2 linked regions of the Lepisosteus oculatus genome follow. The protein of the gene in region 1 binds, or shares a complex with, the protein of each later gene. Links are inferred from orthologs where the notes say so. Each region holds a gene or a part of one and is shown on either strand. Other genes may lie near its edges.

Region 1 (11,229 bases):
CAAAATGTATTTTCTTATATATTAATTCTTTGCATCCAGTGTTTCCCAGCTTATGTCTTTGCTTAATATTATTTTGCTAGCTGAATGTAACCCATTTCTAGTTCACTAACTAGAAGAGAAAATAGATTATGGACATAGACATGGAAGATCCTAAAACAGACACATGTGGTACTCCAATAAGTATACAATTCTGTGAAAAAGTATTTTCCCCTTTCAGATTCTCTGTATATTAGCATTTTTGTTATTTGTTGAGCTTCATGTGGGCCGTAGTGATACTGTATATAAAGAAATTCTTAGTGAACAAATAATACCAATGTTTGTTGACTGTTTCATTTATTTCATATACTGTATGTAGTCATCCAACATCCAATGTCTCCATGCAAATAAGTAATGGTACCCTAGTGCAATCAATTCAATTAAAAAGATAACAAGAGCCAGCTGTGTGAGTACTTTATTTTTGAGCCAGGCCTGCACTATATAAAACTTACAACATTTGGCTCTCATGAGCAGAGTGATCCAATGGCTACAAGGGATACACCCTCTATTGGATTCCAGGGCACACACAGACAAACATACATACACACAGTCACACCAGGGCCAGTTTTCCCAGACTCCATAGCCTACCAGTATGTATTTGTATTGTGGGAGGAAACCAGAGCATCCGTTGGAAACCCATATGAACAATGAGAGATCATTAAAAATCCACACAGACAGCAATGAAAAAAGAACTGAACCCAAGAATGGTATCATTCCACATTAATTTGGCCCCAGTGTCCTGGCCAATTTTCCCCCTGGCCTTTATCAATAATATCCTCCTAATAATCCCCATCTATGAATTAGCTTTATTACTCTAATAGCTGACAACTGATGTGTGATGAGTGTACTGACACACTTTGGTTACAATTGCATCATCCAGGTGGATGCTGCACATAAGTGGTGTTGGAGGGGAGTCCCCATTACCTGTAAAGCACTTTAAGTGGAATGTCCAGAAAATCACTACATACTGTAAGTGTAATAATAATAACCTACAGGTCAGAAAATGTTTAGACAACCACAGTATATAAAGTAGTCAAGCCCTTGAAACTCCTATAGTCCATAGTTTTTCCTCTCTAATTTGGCTTACCAGCTCTCTGTTTATATATCTATCTGAAGTATTATTTATGAAAGCTATATTGTGACATCTCAGTCATTCATACTTTCAGGATGTTGTTTTTTACTCTGATCTACTATTGTAATTTTCCCCAAATGCACATACTATTTCTTATTTTTTAGTCTTTTTGTGCTCTATCTTTTAGAATAAATAAAAACTAGCTTTGGGTGGTTATTACAAAAATTATTTAATTGCTTTTAAACACACTTACTGGCTAATTACCTTTTTTGTGTTTATTCCTTATATTGAACTTCATTTTGTAAGTAATTATATTCCTTAATGTTTACATTTTAACAAACTTTAGTATGATCCCCTTGTAAATGTCTTTCATAAATGGATTTTTATTATCATTTAAAGGTTTAATAAATATAGTTTTAAAAAGTACTTTTTTAAAATCGTTGAACTAGTATCCTTCTCCCTTATATTTACAGACACTATAGTTTTCCACTTATTATACCACCTCAATAGAAAATGTCACCCCTTGTCTATAATTTGTGTTAACTATCTACTGTAACTAGTTTGTAATCCAAATATGCACATTATCATTCATCATTGCTTACACTTATATAGCACTTTTCTGGACACTCCACTCAAGTCGCTTTACAGGTAATGGAGACTCCCCTCCACCACCACCAATGTGCAGCATCCACCTGCAGCCATAGTGTGCCAGAACGCTCACCACACATTAGCTATCGGCGGGGAGGAGAGCAGAGTAATGAAGCCAATTCATAGATGGGGCCAATGGGAAATTTGGCCAGGACGGAGGGGTTACACCCCTACTCTTTTCAAGAAACACCCTGGGACATTTCATGACCACAGAGAGTCAGGAACTCAGTTTTACATCTCATCCGAAGGATGTTTACAGTATAGTGTCCCCATCACTATATTGGGGCATTAGGACCCACATGGACTGCAGGGTTAGCGCCCCCTGCTGGCCCCACTAACACCTCTTTTAGCAGCAACGTTAGTTTTTTCCCCAGGAGGTCTCACATCCAGGTACTGATCAGGCTCACACCTGCTTAGCTCCAGTGGGTTGCCAGTTGTGAGTTGCAGAGCGATATAGCTGCTGGCTTTTACCTTAAATGTCTGTTTTCTTCAATTTGGAAAACATATTTAAATTCTTCAATCCTGCCAGGTTTCATTCCAATTTAGCATATTGGCTTAACTGGGCTAGTTTAACAACTTTTCTCAGGTCCAGGTCAAGGATCAGTGACCATTATACTAAAGTGTAAAGCATATACAGTAGATGTTCCTGTGAGTTAGAAAATAAAACATAGTATAAGACTAAAGGTGTGGAAAAGGATTTTTGTTGCTGTTGCACTTAATTTGCTTTATAATGGTGCAAGTGTGCATAAGAGCAAATCATAACAGCACATGCAATCTGTATTTTAGTAATCCCACGGCTGAGAAAATACATGATAAAGTGGACAACATTAAGGTTGTACTGTATGTATTGTTTCTGAAAACTGTAAAAGAATTCACTCTAAATAACAGCTGCTTTCTGGCTTAAAAAGCCTTAAGCATTCATTGTCTAATCATTGAATGAGGCTTTTTCCTAGTTCTTGAAGAAAGCTGTTCACTATCATTTTTTTTCTAAACCCTTTTGACTTTTACCATTTATATTTCATCTAACATCACTGCTAAGATCATCTTGATACCATCTTCAACACATTCTTCCATTTCACAGACCTCATTTAAACATGAAACAACCTACACTATCATATCAGTAGAGGATTCAAACATTAAAGTATTTGCTGCCACCTACATGTATATACGATATCTTCTTCACAAATAGTAGTGCCTGCATGCACAAAGGGGATTATAAAGTAACTGCTTGATTTAACAAGTGTTCATTCCCCCTATACTGTAAACCAGAGGAAAATAGATAACATACAGTGGTAATCCTGTGCGCAATAAAAATAGGCTGCTGTTATGCTTATTGTGCCACAACTCTAATTGAGAGTTCTCTTGTCTAAAGCACATAGGTTTCAGCTTTGGGAAAATCCTCTAATCCACTTGTTAGGAACATGGCCTTTGTTTGGGGATTTGTAGGTGACATGTATGTAATGTGTGATACTGGTTAAACAAAAGAGTGGTTTTGAAAGTCTGAGCCTATACAAATCATAATTTGCACAGCTTCACTTGAGAACTGCTTATCTATTGAGATCTCATAACAAATTTCGCGTTTTTCAGCTGAAATAATTTAAAATTCTGCATAGGAAAAGCCTGATACCAATGCAAAATAAATTGACTATACAGAATTTTAGGTTTTCTCTCAATGATTTGGGAAAAAATGGCAAAAAAGTGCAGAATTTTTGAAAAGACAAAAATTCAAATCAAAGATGATTACTGAGTTGGTCTGATATTATTTCAGGACAGTCCTTACATTTTTGTGAAGCATTAATTATGGATTTTAACTTTATTTAATACTGAAATTGAAAAACGACGGTTCCGGCGACATTATTACACTGATTTTTATAAAGTAGTGTACTGTATGTGAGATGAAATGGAAAGACTTTAGGGAGAGAGGGTCATAGATACGGTATAAGCGTTATCATATCACGTAATTCAAAACATCGCTCTCTGATGTTTTATGTTAGGAAGAGAGGAAACTCACAGGTTTAACGCCAGTATCTGTCCATAAAGAAAAAACAAAACTTAAATAATCACCATGCGTTATCCTACTGAAGTAGTGTGTATAGCAAATAATTTGTCTCATTTGTCATATAGCTGCATTTTAACTGTGTAGTGTCACATCAATCTGCGGGTCACCAGATGTTTAGTAGAAGTCTAAATTGATAGGAATTCTTAGTTATATGAGATTAAATATACCAGGCTCAAAGAAAAAACGTCTTCGACATACTTAGTAATGGGAAGCATACTATACACTTCCTATACTTAATTAAAAGTTAAAAATAAACTTAAAATATTATCTCTACATTGAATGGAATTACAGTAAAACACATTATCTTTACAAGAACAGTAGAGCACGGTGTACTTTATATACAGTATACATATTGCTGTGAACAACGTGCTTTTTAAAATGATACACGCTACTCTAATCTGAATTATATAGAACTATTAACTATACATTAACGATGCTATATATAAAACATGACAGTATTTTGTTTTGAAATGGTTAAAAGACATACCTTTGTCCAAAAGTTTGATTTTCATTTGAAATAAAATTGGTCACATTACAGGTATTAAAAGAATATGTATCGATAAAATAATGTATTCATAGCTTTTATTATTACTTATTAGCTACTTCTTCGCAGCTGGTAATCACAGAAAATGAATCCATAAAATCTTCAGAATAAAAGTTTTACCAAAGGTACGATGCATTATTGATTCATTTTTGACCATTTTTGCGATCGCTTTCCCTTGTCTCTTCTCCGTTTTATTGTTTTGGATTTTCCGGACACTGAAATTATAAAGAAAATAAAATGCAAAATTTAGAAATGCCACGAAGAACATTTAAATATATAAAAAATACAAATACATTACATTATTTCAAAGTTAGGCAGAGTTTTGCAACGTTTTTGTTTTCCTGGTGCTCAATATTTGAAAACACCTCGCATCGAGTGTTTATCAATGATACTTACTGTAAATATAATAAGAAATAAAACTTTTTAAAGAGTCTCTTCTGGACTGATGGTGATGATGATGATCATTATCATCATCATTCCAACTCTACTACTAAAAATATAGAATTCAGGATATTTTAGGGGTTTTGAAGTTCTTCAACTATTAAGAAACACTGCTAATAATTTCGCTCGTCTTGTCTGAGTTTAGGAGGGGAAAGGTTTTATTAGGATGGTAAAGGATGTCTATGTTATTGCAATACAGTATCTGAAAATGAAACATTTTGTGGTGGCACTACGCGATACGCCTGTTTTATGGTTAACCAGGAATTAATATTTAATTCCGAAGTCTAGATGCGCTGTTTAATCTGCGTGATAATTCAAGGCACGTATAGGTTATTCTCATTTGACTTTGTTCATATTACCTTACATTTTTCATAGCAAAATTATGCATTTTCTATTAATGTAGACAATTTTATTTTTTAGACACGAAAGTACAACAAAAACAATGTGTGTTTTTCTTTAGAAATAAACCACATAAAAAAGTCCAAAATATTATTAATGTATTTTAATAATATTCAGTTTCTTGTCAAGTAAGCATGTGGGGTACAAACATGAACACAGATAAGTGAGACAGGGGGCAAAAACATCCTCGCAGTCTTCACTTCTCCCCGGTTACTGTGAAGCTGTCTCCCCAGGGAGCCAGCTTTGAAAACCGCTATAAAACAGCTCAAGGCTTCAGAAATGCTACGCCACAGCTGGCAAATCACCGATTTGAACATCAGAAACTGGGAGGGGTCGAGTCGTTTACCTGACTTCCTTTCGGAAAACCCTCCTCCCCTTACTCTACCCCATTCCTTAACCCGCGCTGATCTCACTTGCATTCATTCGATTGACTCAAAACTGCAGCGGAGGAACAGTAGCACAGAAACACTGTCGCTGCAAGCTTTGATCTGAGGACTTTTTCTTTATTGGATCTCTCAGGCGGGGAACAACTCAACTGACTTCGTAACTTTTGATGGAAAACGGGAAATTTGACATCGTCTGCTAACTTTGGCATCTTTAAAGGTATCGTTTTTTATTTTCCCAACTACGGTTACTAACACCTGCTATGATCTGCCTATGTGCGTTCTCTATCAAACCCAAAAGTTTACCTTTGCTCTTATCTCATTTACTTTTACTAGAACTCTTACTAGTTATATTTAGAAAAAATAATTGACGATCTGTGAAGAGCTAAATTACGTAATGTTGATATAGTCAGTTTAAAGTTATTTTTCTTAAATAATATTTAATTTAATAATCATTGTATATATGATTTATGATTACAGAGAAAGTAAGGTGATGGAAATATGTCTCTATATACTTTTGCCCAACCCATACGTTGTTTTTCCTTATAAAATAAAGCCACAAACGTGTTTTGGAAACGGGAAGCTGGGACGATGATAGGCAAGAAACACCGACTACGTACAGTGCAATAATTTCGTTTAGCTTTAGTAATTTGCTCTGTGATTTCGGGGAGGGGTGAGAGGGACAAGGGGGAGACTACAGTAGGATTTCACAACTATAACGGTGACTGCCATTACCAGTCATTTTAGAAGGGTTTTAGGTGGATTACAAATCCCCGTACTGAAGAGATTGTAAAGCACTGTTAAAGTTTTGTTTTGCATCTAATTAACTATGATGAAAGTAGAGACCCATTCAGTGAATCTGAATTGCACCGCTGCGACTTTCACCTACAGTACAGCGCACCTGAAGTACATACTGTAGATAATGTAGTTGACGTTAAGGGAAGGATGTAGTGTAACGTAATGGATACTGTCTTGTACCGTTTAGAGAGACTAGTACTGTCTTAAATCTATAAGTTTAGTGACTTATGTGGTCTGTAAAAAAAACAGACTTTTAATCTGAAGTAAGGGTGTAAATATAATTCCCGTGAAAATAAGATTACATAAAAACATGAATAGAATATACGATGAATTAATTCCGTTACGAGATCGTAAATAATTTAAATTAAGACGTTGACACTCAATGTACTGTCAAACAGCTTCAGATGCTTCTTGGAATTTATGAGGAGTACCTGAGATGCATAATTAATTGCATTTTTTCATTATTTGTTTTTTAATTAAAAAACTTTTCTCTTCGTCGTTACATTTTCTAAGATTGCTCTGTCTTTACTATTTGAAATATTGCTCCATCATATATAAGGTAAATCTGGTGGAAAACGCAGGATTGCTTGAGGAAGTGAGGAAGATGTCATCATTCAAAAAGCTCTCTAAATCCGTGAGTTATCTAATGAGTACCTTTCATCACTAGAGTTTATTTTAATGGAAAAGATTGTTCCCATCCATACATTTATTACTGTAAGTTTATATTATCACTACATTTTACTTTCCATCGGTAAATGATAGGCTGTTTAGCAGTTTCCTAAACCTTGGCACATAGTATTCATGTGCTTGAGTTGTCTGGCTAAGTTTGCACCAGATATTTCATTTTAGACTGTAATCTTTCCTGAAATACAGGTAGAGGCTTTTAAGACTCCTTTTATAAAACGGCAGTTACCAAGGATACTGGCGTTAAGTATAAAATTTGGATAAAATTAAAAAAAACTTTTATCCCCAGTGGATCAAATTTACATGAAATTGGCAAATGTATGTCTGTTGAGTACTTAGTGGTAATAAATGTAGTTGATCTGTAAAAAAAAATAACTGAATTGCATACCGAAGCTTAAAATGCTTCTGGTTACAGGAAAAAAAGAACATCTTACCAGACAAGATAATCAGAAGTATCTTTGAAAGCTTTAGTGCAATTATAGTTTGTACCTTATATTTTGAAAACTGACCCAGAAGTTATCTGAAGTTGTGAAAAGTGGCAAATGTATACGGTATCTGTTGATTACTTTGTGGTTATAAATGTAGTTGATCTGCAAAGAAATAACTGAATCACCTTTTCTCTTATACAATTTTTACATTGTATGCCAAATTATACTCATACCTGTCAGAGAAGAATTGGTATGACCTCGGCTTAATTTCCACTAGGTACAGTAATCCATTAATTAGACTTACAGTTATGCATCTTTTAAAAAAGTCATTTTGCAATTAAAGGCCAGGCTTTTGAGTTTGAAGTGTATATATTTGAAAATAAACACTTTAAGTCCTTTGGAATCTAATGAAATTACCAGATGGGCTTGGTTAATTGGGGTGCAAAGGTGAATTTTGAAACACTGCGAGTGGCTGACTCTAAAATGTATAAATCTGTAACACTTTTCTCAGGAAGTGAAAAGCAGCATATCTGCTTAAAGAAAAAAAAAATATTTGGTTGAGTACCTCAACACCCTTTCCAACTGGGAATGGAGATTTTTGCATGTGTGAGGTCAAAATTAATTATGAGCCTTTTCTGTGGTTTTGCTGTTGATGCATGATATTTTGACGTAAACGAATTGTTTTTTGAGTAAGAATGGTAAATGCATATGAGATCACTAATGGGAAGTTGTACTGTATCATTCAAGCAGTGCGTGGGTGTCTGTAAATTAGCTCCATTGTATTTTTTAGCTTTATGGTCCATTGTTGCACACTGAAGTTCACATCAGCAAAATTTTGTTTTTTAATCTTCGTTCTGTCATCTGTTCTAACAACTTTAATAGTGGAAAAATATTGTAAAACAAATTACCTCAAAAATATTTCTTCTACAGTATAATCCGCTGCAACTATTTAACATGCATGTCGTGACAATCATGTTGATAAAACTGACATACTTTTGTTTTGCATCATTAAAATAGACCCATTTAGTCAAAAATACACTTAAAGTGTAGATTGATCTTAATTTAAAAATTTCCATGGAAAAACACTTTGTATTGCAGACACAAACAGAAATGTATGTAAACTTTTCAGTATAATGGAGAGAGGTCCTCTATAATGTATTTACTCAGCACTGGGAAAGAATTGATTATTAAAATGGATTTTAATTTAGCTCCTTCTAGCTTTATATTATTCTTCAAGACTCCATTTTCATTTTGTTTATGGATTTTGGATCCTTTTAATAAAATATGTTATGAATCAATGTTTTCAGGGTTTGGAATTACTCCTCAGTAGAACTATCTACTAGGTTTAAGCACTGTGCATCACCATTATTTGCAATGTTATTGACATACATTTGGAAGTAGCAAAAACAAGTCAGCTTCTGTGGAAATCCAGTGAAGATATATTTGTTTATTATCTACACAGTTGTTATTGATAAAAATAATAGAAATACATACAGTACAAATAATGTAAACCTTATTCATTCTTCTATAAAGATAATATACAATTAAAAGGGGGATAAATTATTAGAGTGGGTCCTGGACATCATGCACAAATAAGCTATAGCCTTGTGCTAGAGTTGTTAGAAATCATGTCAATTCTTGTAAGTCCTTTTAGACTTCTAAGGCAATTTATAAATTGTGAACGTTATTAGCAACATTCTCAGTCTTACTGTATACTTTCATAGATGACTAAAAAGTGTATTATGCATTCAGCAGGTGTGCAAGTGTTGAGCACTCTTCTGATCTTTATGCGAATGTGTTAACCCCGCTTGTTGGCATGACATAACTTCATTACATACTGTAAGCTCTGAGAAATTGTGCCGATAAAGAGATCCTTAAACCATAACCTGATATAGATTAAATGCAGATGCAGAACTGTACGCTCCTTAAGTACTATACTAATGCTCTAGGGAAATGCTGTTTATCAACTGTCAGTGTTTTGTTATTAATAAAAAACACAATTTACTTTTCACTTCTTAGGTTTCCCTCTTCTTTGATAAAAACAAAACACGTTCAGACATTGTGATAAAATGGTGTTACAGCAGAACCAAAAATATGTGATTTCTTTAGAAAAGAAACGTTTCCATTAAGTGTCTGGTTTGAAGAATACAAAAGGGGCTGCTAGTGATACTGGAAATTCAATATATTCTTTAAACTAGGACAGTCTCCTTATGAAGTATTTAATGGATGGCTTGTAAAATTAATCATTTTTTCAGTCAATTTTTCCCAGGACAAGAAATCTAGCAAATACGGTATGCGTTCTTTTAAGAATTTCAGAATGATGAAGTATGTATTGTTTGCTACCAGCACTGGCAGGAAGTCATACCATTTTTGTTTTCTGGTTTTTGTGTTGTGATATGAACCCTGATGATCCCTGCCCAGATTCAGCTTGGCCTGAAGTTTACATCATATTCAGAGCTAATTGGTACTTAATTTGTCAGTTTTATCTCAGAGGAGGTAAGGGGGAAACACATTGTGAATGTGATCTTGATATAGTAATGTTTTTTTCTCACACATAGAAGGTTGGTGAATGTCATTGTTCAAAACAAGACATTGTAAATTTGAATGAGGTTTTATGGCTTAATTGAAAAAGGTTTGAAATGTGTATGCAGAAATATATGTTTTACAAAGAAGAAAACAACATTCTCCTGCACTGAACCTCTGAGACCAATTAGTCTATACATCAATTATTTTATGTGAAAGAGCTCAGTGAAGTGAAATGCTGCGAGATACAGGAAAACAGATATGTGTTTGTGTGTGATTTCTCCTGAATTTACTTGCATGCTTTCTATGACAAAGTAAAATCTCATAAAATAATCCATCTTTTCGTAGTCTGATATTTTAAAGACAATTCTAAAAAACACAAAATGGTTTGCAACGTTTTGCATTTTCAACTGCTTACCATTTTAAGAGATTATATTGTTAGTCGATCACTGGAGGCTGTGATGTCACCAAACAACATAAACTGGGATTGAAGAAATCTTCTTCCAAATCTGGTTTCCAAATGCTTACTTTCGAGACACTGGTTCAAAATGTGTTCACAAAATTCGAACAAAGGTTGTTAAAAATCCAAAACCAATGTATAATTACAAGAATGGATATAAACCCCTATAGTATGATAAGCAGCAAGCTGTATTGTTTATGTGTATTTCATTATTTTTATTTATGAAAAGTATTTATTAGACTTATATAAAATCTGCTAGTCAAGAGAGTCACAAGAGATTTAAAACCTTAATAATTTCTATTAAAGGGCTGAGAAGGGGTTTACACAAAAGAACCCCCCCACCTCACCCCCTCACTGGTATAGTGAATGGCAGAGGACTGCTACTTTGGCTATTGTGGGTTTCTGTAATCTGTCCCACTTAAGGGATGAGGCCTGATTTCCCACCTGAGACGATTAACACCCCCCCAGCTCACACCCCCCCTCCCTATGTAATTAACAATGTAGTGAAATAACAGCTCAGCAAACAGAGGGAAATTATACCTGCGGTAACAGGAGAGTAAATACCTGTTTAGCTGCCAGTGCATGTATTTATTTTCCTGTCGCCAGTAAATAAGGGCTCTGTCTCTCTTTTAATGTGTAGCTGTGTTGTGACTCCTCCTTGTTTGAAAGGCCTCTGTTATGGTTCCAAATGAGGGGAAAAAACAAAAACTTAACAATGATTCAGATACTTTTTGTGGCAAGCAACAACCTGGAT
Region 2 (11,259 bases), on another chromosome or scaffold:
ATAATAATAATAATAATAATAATAATAATAATAATAATATGGGGCTTCTTTGTGGACTGCCGTTAGCGCTGAGGCGAACATCTCGATATATCATGGCTGCCCTCTTTATTGTTCCTGTAGAGTCCACAGACCATTGTGGCCTCAGCGCCATTTTAGTACAGGACGGCCTGCGCCCAGCGTGTCGCGGCGCTTCACTATTAAACTGACTTGAACGCCTTCCAGGGTCTGTCGTACCAGGTAGACACTGGCGACTTCGCAGAGGCGTCGTGTGATTTATTCTTCGTGTCACGGCGATTGAGTCCTACGGTGAACCCCCCCCACCCCCCTCTTCATTCACAAACTTGCCTGATATATGAGTTTTTCGTTTTAAAATTGCGTGTCTGAAGAAAGCGTTTTTTTTAGCACGGCACGTGTGTGTCCCTGCACAAAGTGCATCACAAATCCGGACGGGGGGCTTTGTTCAAAAACTAGAGCTCAGCTCTACACCCCGAAGTTCCTAGAAATTCGTAGACCAGCGTTGCATTTTTTTTCCTGGTTTCTTTCAATTGAATTTCGTTTCATTTGAATTTCAATTTATTTTTCTACTTTATTTTTGGAATATATTAGTGGTGCTGCTTGGCATTGTAGAAATTCGAAATAATTCATAAAGTTCAACCAATTCATTCAATAAAACATAATCCTAACGATGAATGATTGAATCTAAGCTTTTTTGTTAGTTATTCATGACTTGGTGGAGAAAACTACTGACGTTTCTAAATAATAATAATAATAATAATAATAATAATAATAATAATAATAATAATAATAATAATAATAATAGAAACAAGCTCCGATTCTGCACATTCTACACAAAACAAATACATTAATGAAACAACGCAGACCAGCTATTCTGACTTTCCATCGTTATCAAAATGTTCGCTATATTTTGGTGAATAGAAGTCTAATTGGATTGTTCTAATTTGAGCAAGAAATTATTAGTATGCCAATCTAAAAAAAAATAAAAAATTAACCAAAATATTGCTGTGCGAAAATCCTTAAAAAATTTCACAGAATTTATTTTTTGGAATCATGTTCTAACTTAATGTGAAATGCTTTTAGCTCACCGGGGACTTCAAACCCTAAATATTTTTACACAATGCAAACACACACTTTCATCAAGCTTATAAAGGTTTTATTTCATCTATGAAAATAATGTACAATAAATAATTTGCATTTTACTATTAAAGAATCTCAATAAATAAACTAGTTCTAAAACCCAGAAAGAGGGACAATACCCTTTTCGAGAGAATTTCTAAAAGCAGCTCGCTATCCAGTCACATTTTTTTTATTTATTTCCTGAGAGTTTATCGATTGAGTAGGCTACACTGTTCGCGACTCCTTCCTCTAACGCCAATAAATATAAATTAAAAAAATAAAATAAAATCAAAATAAAATAAAAAATTAAATACCTGAAGTTCGGAAAAAGAGACTTCCAAGAAAGTCAAAACATGATTGGACTTGTAAGAAACCGAATATTTGTAGAGTCTCTATCCCATTTAAATAACGTACGAGTTCGTTTTACACTGGAAACCCGGATAATGAAAGTCTGTGTTCTAGGGGTGAAATATGGGTGAGCTCCTGCAGCTGAGGCGACTACGAGAGTCTACAATTTCGAGAACGAAAGTCGCTTCTCTGCCCCTTTCTGTCCTAAAACTGAAAGTGCTGTAAGTCGATGGTACAGAGGGTGCTCGTGAAGAAGTCGAAATCCTCTTCGGAAAAATCCACCGGACTGTCGAGCGAGCTCCGCAAACTCGGCGATAAAGCATCTGAGATCTGTAGGCAGGAGTCGGGGGAGAAGAAATTGAGCTCGGCGAGGGAGGCGGCGTCCTGCGGCTCGGGAAACGCATTATCCGGGCCAGATGCGCGGCCCTGGCTCATTGTTGTGGGGTTATCGTGAGTGGGCGCGGGGAGCTCAGGCGACCTGACAGCTTTGTCAGGGCCCGGTGCGAGGTCCTGGCGGCGGCCCTGCTGCTGCTCCTCCTCAGGGGAGGGCCGCTCGCCGTCCTGGCCGCTGGCGTAGGAGGAAGACGGTTCGCGCGTTTCGCTCTCGGGCGCGGCCGGGCCCGAAACGTCCAGGGGCTGGCCGGCTAAGGGAGAGGCCGGCTCCGCGCCCTCCGCGGACTCGAACCCGCCCGGGTCTCCATCCTGGCCCTCCCTGTGGTGCGTGGTTTGCCGTTTGTGCTTCATCCTGCGGTTCTGGAACCACACTTTGACCTGACGCTCCGTTAGATCCAACAGGGCGGCGATTTCCACCCGGCGGGGCCGGCAGAGGTATTTGTTGAAGTGAAATTCCTTCTCCAGCTCCAGCAGCTGGGTGTTGGTGTAAGCGGTCCGCAGCCGGCGGGACCCGCCGCCGGACTCCAGCCCGCTCTGAGACTCTGCAAAGAAACAAAAAAAACGGAAGAAAAAAAAAGAATAAAACATCCAGCTGTCGAAATAACCACAGAATCAGACATGGAAAAAATGTGCTGTTTAGCTGTCATTAAAATAAGTAACTAGAAAGCATTCTCCAACAAATCATAAAACGATTCATCAATCTGTCCCTGTGCTCCGTTATGTAATTATACAGGAATGTGTGCATAGGAAGTCCGATGCACACACCTCTTCCAAAAAATAAAGAGAAATGATTTAGAAACGCAAACGTCCTTTCTGTAGCCAAATTTCAGTTGTGCCCAGAGCTCTTTCTTCCTCTTCAGAGGTTGTGTGTGTGTTTTTTGTTTCCTTTAAGACACTTGGAGACCATCAAATTCCGAGATTGTATCAGTGTAACGGATTGAGAGATGAATATAACCGAGAGGGATTCGTTTTTTTTTTTTGAAGACAACAGTTTTGTCGGCTTCTTTTCAGGTACATCGAAACATGACTTCGCGTCCACATATCTGCTTGTGTCAATGCATTTTGCAGTTCCCCACGAAAAATAAAATAATGACCCTTGTCGCTAGATTTTCTTTGAATGAGCCATCACAGTTCAAAAGGGTGTTCAGTAAACATATCGAACGACTGATTTTCTAAATAAATGCAACGGGGGAAAAAAAACAACCTAAACTAAAAGGGACCGATTTTGCCCTCACACAGAGGGAATGCCTGCCTGGGTTACACTGGGTTACACCACCCATGAAATACCCTCCTTCTCTCTGCTCATTTGGTCAGGCAAACAAAAGCGTCTTGGGGGAAAAAAATGCACAGAAATGTCTTATTTCGTTGTCATTCGGAGCCGGTGGCACCGTGTCACCGTGTGAAAAGTACAAACTGCGTCTCGCACGCTATATTTATATCTCCTAGCAGGGAAAGAGCTAGTGTTGTCACCGAGGCAAATCCTTTCGTGCAGTCTCTCCGAATTAAAGTGCTAGAAACCTTCACGGTCTGCGGCTTTTTTTTCTCTTTTCTTACAAATAACAGCAAAGCTGACAGCTTTAATTCTGGCACCGACCTGCCGGCGAGTCCAGCCCCGCTGCCGCGAACGCGGAGGGCGAGGGCGAGGAGGAGGAGGAGGAGGCGGCGGCGGCGGCAGCCCCGAGATGCTGGCTCTTCTTCGACGACTTCTTCTCCTTCATCCACGGGAACTCGGCCGCCGCCGGCCCCGCGGTCGCCGGAGCAGCTGGGCTTTGCGGCGCTGGGGTGCGGAGCGAGAGGCCATTTGCAGCTCTTTTCTGGCTCCTGGGTCGCGCCTGGCTGCCGGTGCAGGGATTGAGGCTGGGGATTGTGTGCTCGAACGGAGGAGGAATTAATGTCGACTCCTTGATTGATGGAGTTTGAAATGACTCCAGGACAGCGGGAAAAGACGTCAGGCACTCTGCGAGGGAAGGCTGGCTGTTTATGAACCCAATCTCCCTCTCAAATTCAAAATTCATAGCTTCTCCTGGTCGGAAAGCAAGGCTGGTGTCTTCAAATAATAAAAAAAAATAAAAAACACCGCGTAATAACGAGGGTCCCGCTCTGCGATATTTTGCGGGCTTTAATAATTGTGTATATTGGTGATATTACTGTCGTATGGGGACCTGGGGCTGCTAAACTGTGGAGACGAGGGCGAAAATGCGACCAATTCCTCGTCACGTGATCCAAAACGACCAATTACAAATTCGGGGCCTGCAGGAAAAAAGAGAGCATGCTTTTCTCCAATTGATCCAAAAACACAGGAGCCTGGTTTTGTTTCACTTGCTAGGGAGTTGCATTTCCGACGCCTCATCATCATCATCATAATAAAAAATCTCGGGTCTGCACCTGACTCTCGCAGGAGAGTTTTCGGGGCGTCAGTGTTGTGGGGAGTCCCACGCCAGACTGTGGGGGTGACGGTGAGATGTGTTGTATACTGTAATTGGGGCGATTAAGACGTTCGCAGGCTGGCGAACCTTGGGCATTGTGATGAGCAAAGGTCATTAATCTTTAAGGTTCTGACAAGACCAACAGACAGGGCAAAACGAAGTTAAAAGAACTTCCTCTTGTGGGCACCGAGACAGTGGCTTTCAGGTTAGAAACCTGACGTTCCCTCTGCTTAAAATGAGAATATTCTCTTTTACACACACCACACATACACTGTGCATGGGCAGCAACACTCTCTGTCGGGATGAGAGGTACCATTACACACTTTTTTTTTCATAAAGGGAACCGAGCAGTGGGATCATACGGCGAGACCCAGGCTAATGTAAGTGGCTTTTCAAGATCAGTCTTGTTCTTAATTCACCCGAGTTATATGCAGCGGCATACATTTTTAGCGGCCGCTGACAACCATAGAGAACAGAGAAGTAAACGTGCTGTCTCGCAACACGGCCCCGGTGGTCGAGAAACGTTTAGCTTTCTAAAACGGGGTGTTTATTTCCAGTATCTGGAACACCTAGGGTTCATTGGGAGGTCGCAGGAACAAGAGAGCATCTCCCTTTTTTATTTCAATTCGATTGTGTTGCTAAAATGTGCCAGGCAAAACTTCATGGACAAATATACACAAGTCTTCCTTTTTTTTTTAAACCGCATTAGGCATTGTGATACTAGTTTTTTTTTTTAAACGAAATGTAAAGGAAAGGGTATTTTTAGAAACGGCGTGCCGAAATAGTGAGGAGTGATCAATCTTTCTCCCAGCAAAGGGCTTGACAGCCAGAATTCAAACTGGCCTCAAGAATCTGCCTTTTCCTTCCCAGCACAACAAAAGAGGTCCTTCCTTTGGAGCTACAGCTATTATTATTATTATTATTATTATTTAAAAAAAATTTCGAATCCACCACGTTTAAAAAATGTTACTGTACAACCGGTGCCTGGCGCAACTGTTAGGTTTTCTAGCACGGCTTTAAAATGAGATTAGAAATGCTTTCGCTCTGTTCTGTTTCTCTGAGATTTAAATGCGTGGGCCCAAAATGTCGTGCTTTTAGCCATTGAATTGTTCTGCAGGCATTAGGAAAGCTGAGGGAGAAAAAAAAAACCTCGCGTGGGCGTGTAAGGCGTTTTAAAGCTTGCACAAAGCAGGCGCTCCGGTGAATGCGCCGGGGCGAGATCCTGAACGCAGCTCCGGGCCCTCTCTGGAGATGACTCCGCAAGCAGGCGATGTAAGGAGCGGAGGATTCGCAGCTTGTATTTGAGAGGTTTAGCGAAAAAAACTACTTTCGATTCTCCAAAATCTAAAACGTCAGCTACTTGAATGCTAGACTATCTGTATTCTATAGAATATTGCATAGGATGTTTGTTCTTAGTTCTTTTCGTCCTGTCTGTTGAAATTTCGTTTCTTTTTTATTGTTATTTGTAATCATGTTTTATCTGGAAAATAAATGTGCAACAATGTGAAAGCTGCAAACTGGCATTGATACAAAACAAAAAAGTCGGGTCATTCCGTGCCTCTCTGACGGCGTACTCTTTTAAATCATCGAGGGGCGGGATTTCTATTTTCAATTCACCGATCCATCAATAAATAATGCTCGCGGAATCTCGGAAAACTCTCCTCGGCGACGCTGTCCGCGATTGAAACGGTATTCCTGAAGAGAAGGGGCCTTGCTGCTCTCACAGAAGGGGGACGGCCGGGCGTGTGCCTTCGCGGCGCTGGTTGAAGATGTTCAACCAAATGGCTTCCTTGCATATCAAATGAAAAACAGCAACCGGGGGGAAACACATCAAAAACAAGACCTGCCGCTGCGAGAATACACGACTGCGCCATGGAAAAGGGGACTCTTGTGCGCTATGTAAATAATTATTTCACGCAGACTTTCCCCCTGATTCTCGCAGTTTGTTTTTTCCTACGCATCCCACACCGTTATGTGAGACACATTTCCTCACAGACCATCTCCCCTGGAAGCACCACACCACGGTCACAAGGATGTGTGAAGACGGACATCTTCAGGGTGGACAGGCCTGTACCAGGGAGAAATCAGTGCCTCTCTCTCGCCCGCCTTCTGCATCCCTGGCAGAAGCGAGCCAGTGTTTGGCTGAAGCGCACGTGACCCACCCACGGCGGCGAGGCACTTCCGGCTCCCTGCCGGCGGTTCTGGGTAGAGAGAGGAGGAGGAGGAGGATTGAGCTTACAAATTGAAACCGCAGTTGTGTGTGTGTGTCTGTCTGAGAGGGAGAGAGAGAAACCGTGTCGTGATTCCCCCGGCGTGTGCATCGTGCAGACGCGTAAAAGACGAGAAAAAATGAATAACAGAAAATTTTATTCAAAGAATTGTTCAACAGACAACTCTCAGCAAGGAAAGGAAAAGTAACTACCAGGAACAAAAGGAGATTTTCGAAAAGGAAGTTAAGCTAGACTTCTAATTCGCCACTATGCAGTAACAGTCTGGGTCCGTCCTCATGCCTGCAGTATAACTCATTACATTATTTATATGTACAAGGCTGACATAAAACCACTCATCTGCCTAGAATACAAGAACTAAAAGAAATTTGCTTACAATGACATGAACACAACGTCTTTCGTAACAGATCAATACTAAAAAAGTACATTTTTTTTTCTTGATATAAATACATAATGTCGGGGGGGATAAATAATACAAAAAAGAAAATATTTAAACTGGCTATAACAAATAAATATATATATTTATGAATGTTCACTCGAACACACGTATAGAAAGACGGCCACGATTGAGCTGATTGGAGGTCTTTCCTTCGAAAATAAGTTGTTTCATTATTTTCTTTTACCCATTAAAATGTAAACTCTAAGTGCAACAATGATGCCGGGACAAGAAGCACGAGCGAAAACCGAAACATCTTCACTTCTGCTTCATTCCTCGGGCACGCATTGTGTTCAAATATACCCTGTTTTCACGTTAAGTCAAGAGAAGATAAAGGTGGGGGGGGGGTTGTTTTGCATTGGTGCTACCTCATGTAAGTGAACCCTAAAGACAGACAGAGAGAAAGGTGGGGTCTCGGAGCAGAGAAGACGGGCAGAGGTGGGGGTGGCAGGGGGAGTGACGCGTGAACTTAGCTTCCCGTTTGTAGACGCTGTGCTGAAGACTAAGTTTGAGCTGCTCGCCTCTCTTCTCGCTATCCGTGGAGGTGGGCGCGGGCGCAGGGGGAGGGTGAGTTAAGGTGACGTTGGAGGATAGAGGTAAGGAAAGAAAGCGAGAGCCGACAATCCAGTGGTTTCCTTGGTGCCAGGGACTGATCGTTCACTAGCTGGGAACCTCTGTCTGGGCGACGATGTACAAAACACTGGAAATTACCAGAAAGACTAAAAAAAAGCCCCCCCACACACCACAAAATCACCTTGAGGAGACTTTGTGCTGAAAAGCCTACACGCACAGCGGCACGGCCCATATACATATAATATATGGCGGATTTTATTGGGTTAACCGACTACAATTACCCCGTCTTACCCCGTTTCTGAATTATTTTTGTTTGTTTTTTTTTTAAAAAAAAGGGTGGTCAGGGGGTACGTCACACGTACAATTGCACGTCAACCGAAAAGAAAACGTGTGGAACTCTTCTGTCTCTCGCTTATTTTTAAAATGAAAAAAAAAAAACAAAAGCCATCCGAATTTCCACGCTTCGCGGGACACGAGAAACCACTGGATCTTTCCGTTGCTGTTGCCGTTGCTGCTCGATCCCGTCGCAGGCGCCCCCGCGTGTTAGTGTCCCCTTCGCGTGCCAAACCTGCTACAGATGCGTGAGCTTGGGCGCCTCCTGGATTCGGCCCGGAGGCGGGTGGTGCGCTGAGAGGTCGGTGTATGTCGGGTGAGGGTCACACGGTCCGTGGTGCTGGCTCGGCGGCATCTGCCCGGCGCCGTTGTAGTCCATGCTGTTGGCCTGGTGGTGCGCCATGTGGTTCAGGCCGTACAGGGTCGGGCCGGAGCCCGCCATGGAATCCACATAGTTCCCGCCGACATAGACCGGGCTACCCTGGATGTTAGGAGTTCCGTAGCTGTTGCCGTTACCCTGTAGACCGTGGGGGTCGTATTCTGGCGCTGTGTTGGCGTACTTCTGTTGGGAAGGGCAGCTTTTCATGGGGTTTTGGTAGGCTGTGGACACGGAATAGGCGTTCTGGTGAGGCTTGTTAAAAGCGGGCGGGGAAGGCGCGTCATAGCCGCCCGTCATCGAGTGCATGAAACCCGCGGAGGACTGCATGGGCAGCGGGGGGCTCCCCGTCGGCGAGGGCCCCCCCGAGGAGGAGCCCATGCCCTTGGACTTCTGGTCCTTCTTGTACTTCATCCGCCGGTTCTGGAACCAGATCTTGATCTGCCGCTCGCTGAGGTTCAGCAGGTTGGCCATCTCCACGCGCCGCGGCCGGCACAGGTAGCGGTTGAAGTGGAACTCCTTCTCGAGCTCCACCAGCTGCGCGCTCGTGTAGGCCGTGCGCGCGCGCTTGGAGGCGGCCGAGCCCGGGGGGCTTTTCTCGCCGCTGCAGCTCTCCGCTGGGTGGAAATGAAATAAAAGATAATTACTACATACAGAAATTGAATGCATCGTTTCCTAATAAACTAGGGAACAGGCACGGAAACTTAACCCCTCTATATTAGTTGTCGCCTCTTCATAACAGTGGCGTTTATTAAGAGATCTGCGCCCCACCGCTGACCTGGTGTATGTAAATTGCTTCGCTCGCCCTATAGCCAATAACGCAGCTGGAACGACTTTCCCTGCGATTAATTTGTATTAAAAACAAACGCCAGCCCCTTGCAATGCACCAATATTGTATTCGCGCATCTAGTTGACTTGATGGCTTTTAAAGGCGCTATATCAGCCCCATGTCTCTTATTTATCCAGCACGAGCGCGGGTGAGATCCCACGTGCAAGACGCACGCGAATGGGTCTCCCCTGCACCTGCGATGTAAGTTGCATGTGCGTGACGTCAGTCATATCTATAAATAGATCTCTAGCTATATTCCTCTCCTGTTATATTTAGCGCTGTAGCTGTAGGTAATGCCAAAATTAGTTTATTACGGGGGGGGGGCAGCTGGGTGAATTAGGGCATTTGCATATCTTAACACTAGTGATGAGCTCATATATAACAGAGCCTTTTATCTATTAGAGAAGTGCAGTGTGATTCTTCCTCTGCGGGCAGCTCGGTGCCACCCAGTTCCACAAACAGGTGCGGAACCACATTTAAACCAGTTAAAAGCGAGTCCACGCGTGATGAACGGAGGCCTTTTTGTCTTCTACGTTGACAGTTTTCCTCTTATGATATCTATGATTCTAAATAGCCGTAGCAACATCATTTGTGGTGTTGGAGGCACAACCCACACTACAGCATCCGGTTTTCAAGTGGTGGCAACACCAAAGGTATCCACCCCCCCCTCTCCTTTACCTAAGTCTGTGTCAAAAATAAACAGAAGAAAACGCCTATCGCCTTGCAGGATTTAGCTCCATGGCCGTTTCTCTTCGGACACCAGACAGCGTTGGTTTGCACCGTTTTTCGACTGATGAAAGGGGGTAGAAAAATAATCGGGTACCAAAAAAAAAAAACAACCCCGTCATAATCAAGCGAGGAAGGTGGGGGGGGGAAGGACACCCCGTGAGCTGTACCTGCGCTCGGGGAGCTGTTTTTCTGCTTCGAGTTCTGTCTCGATTCCTTCATCCAGGGGAAAATCTGCTTGGTGAGGTTGGGGTTGGGGGGGAGGGACGAGGCCTTGCTGGCGGCGGCGGCGGCTTTGCTGCTGCTGCTGCCGCCCGGCTGCTGCGCCGAGCTGCTGTTGGCGGAGCTGGCAGGGTTCTGGGGAGGGGAGACGGGGGGGGCCTGTGGGTGCTCAGGTGGCAGGCTGGGGCGCAGGCAGCTCCCGTTGAGGTCTTTCGCTTTGGCGTGTGGCGGGCCGCCGCCGCCGCCGCCGCCCAGGGACTGCAGCGAGCACGCCGATCGCTGGTAGTCGCTCTCCAGGTGGGCCGACGCCTGGAAGGTCTGCTGGGGCGCCTCATAGCCGAAGCCGTTGGCTCCTTGGTACGAGTAGCCTCCGAAAAGTGTCGAGTTGTCGTAGTAGGTCGTTTTCTGCATCTCCGAAATTAGTTGCACCGGCTACCAGGGTCCTGACGACCTTCTGGAAGAACATTGGCCCCAGGGGTCACGTGACCGTCTCTCTCCAGCGGGCTCTTGCAAGCTGACCTGAAAGGTTAGAAGAAGCACACGATAACGCCGGACCGGGCACGAATCCATCTTCGCCCCTGAAAAGCCTCCTGACATGAATAGCCGTTTCCACAAAAACCCGGCTCGCAGATGCCCGTCTCTGACGGCTGACTCTTTTCTCGCCGGCACACATGTTGGGCAGAGTAACGAATAAGCTCGGGGCTCTTTCATACTCGTCTTCCAAATAAAAACACGCCGATTACATCTTTTGTGTGTCCTAAATGTTATCTTCCCTGTACAGTACACTGAGACCTGTGGGTAATGCAATATCTTATTGTTGTTATTATTATTTAACCGTTCCCTTTGCTTTACAATGATTTATATTTTTTCCTCTTTTAGGTTTTTTTTTTTGTTCCAATAAAAACAAGCTTCTTTGGAAGCGAGTTCGCCTTTTCCTAAGCGGCAACATAAACGAATTATATCTTGCGGTTGTGACGGCGCTGTAGCATCTGCTTCGTTTTCATTCAAATAAGCAGAAACATGTGTACGTGGATAAATGTTATAAACTCGCCTGGAAATGTTCGAAATGACGCCGGGTGACTCCAACGATTTATGAGCAAAAGAACGTTTTTTTTTAAAGAGTCACACCATAACAATTAATGCCCGTTCCTGTCTATTACTTTTGAAAGAGGAGGGCATATCGAATGTGCTGGTTATTTTTATTTTTTCATGTATTTACGGAGAAAAATACATCC

What was found.
Region 2: satb1a (region 1) and hoxb2a share a complex: the UniProt entries of both Homo sapiens proteins name them as parts of the nuclear protein complex. The link is inferred for Lepisosteus oculatus from reciprocal best matches to the Homo sapiens genes SATB1 and HOXB2.

The regions. Positions count from the first base shown.
Region 1 is NC_090705.1:29,694,896-29,706,124, reverse strand, and holds the start of satb1a (DNA-binding protein SATB1a), read left to right. Parts: upstream 1-5,596; 5' UTR 5,597-5,802; intron 5,803-11,229. UniProt on the Homo sapiens protein: Crucial silencing factor contributing to the initiation of X inactivation mediated by Xist RNA that occurs during embryogenesis and in lymphoma.
Region 2 is NC_090723.1:9,254,222-9,265,480, forward strand, and holds hoxb2a (homeobox protein Hox-B2a), read right to left. Parts: upstream 5,210-11,259; 5' UTR 3,891-5,209; coding exon 3,470-3,890; intron 2,418-3,469; coding exon 1,687-2,417; 3' UTR 1,162-1,686; downstream 1-1,161. Other genes in the region: hoxb3a (homeobox protein Hox-B3a), read right to left, coding at 8,110-8,864, 9,973-10,435. UniProt on the Homo sapiens protein: Sequence-specific transcription factor which is part of a developmental regulatory system that provides cells with specific positional identities on the anterior-posterior axis.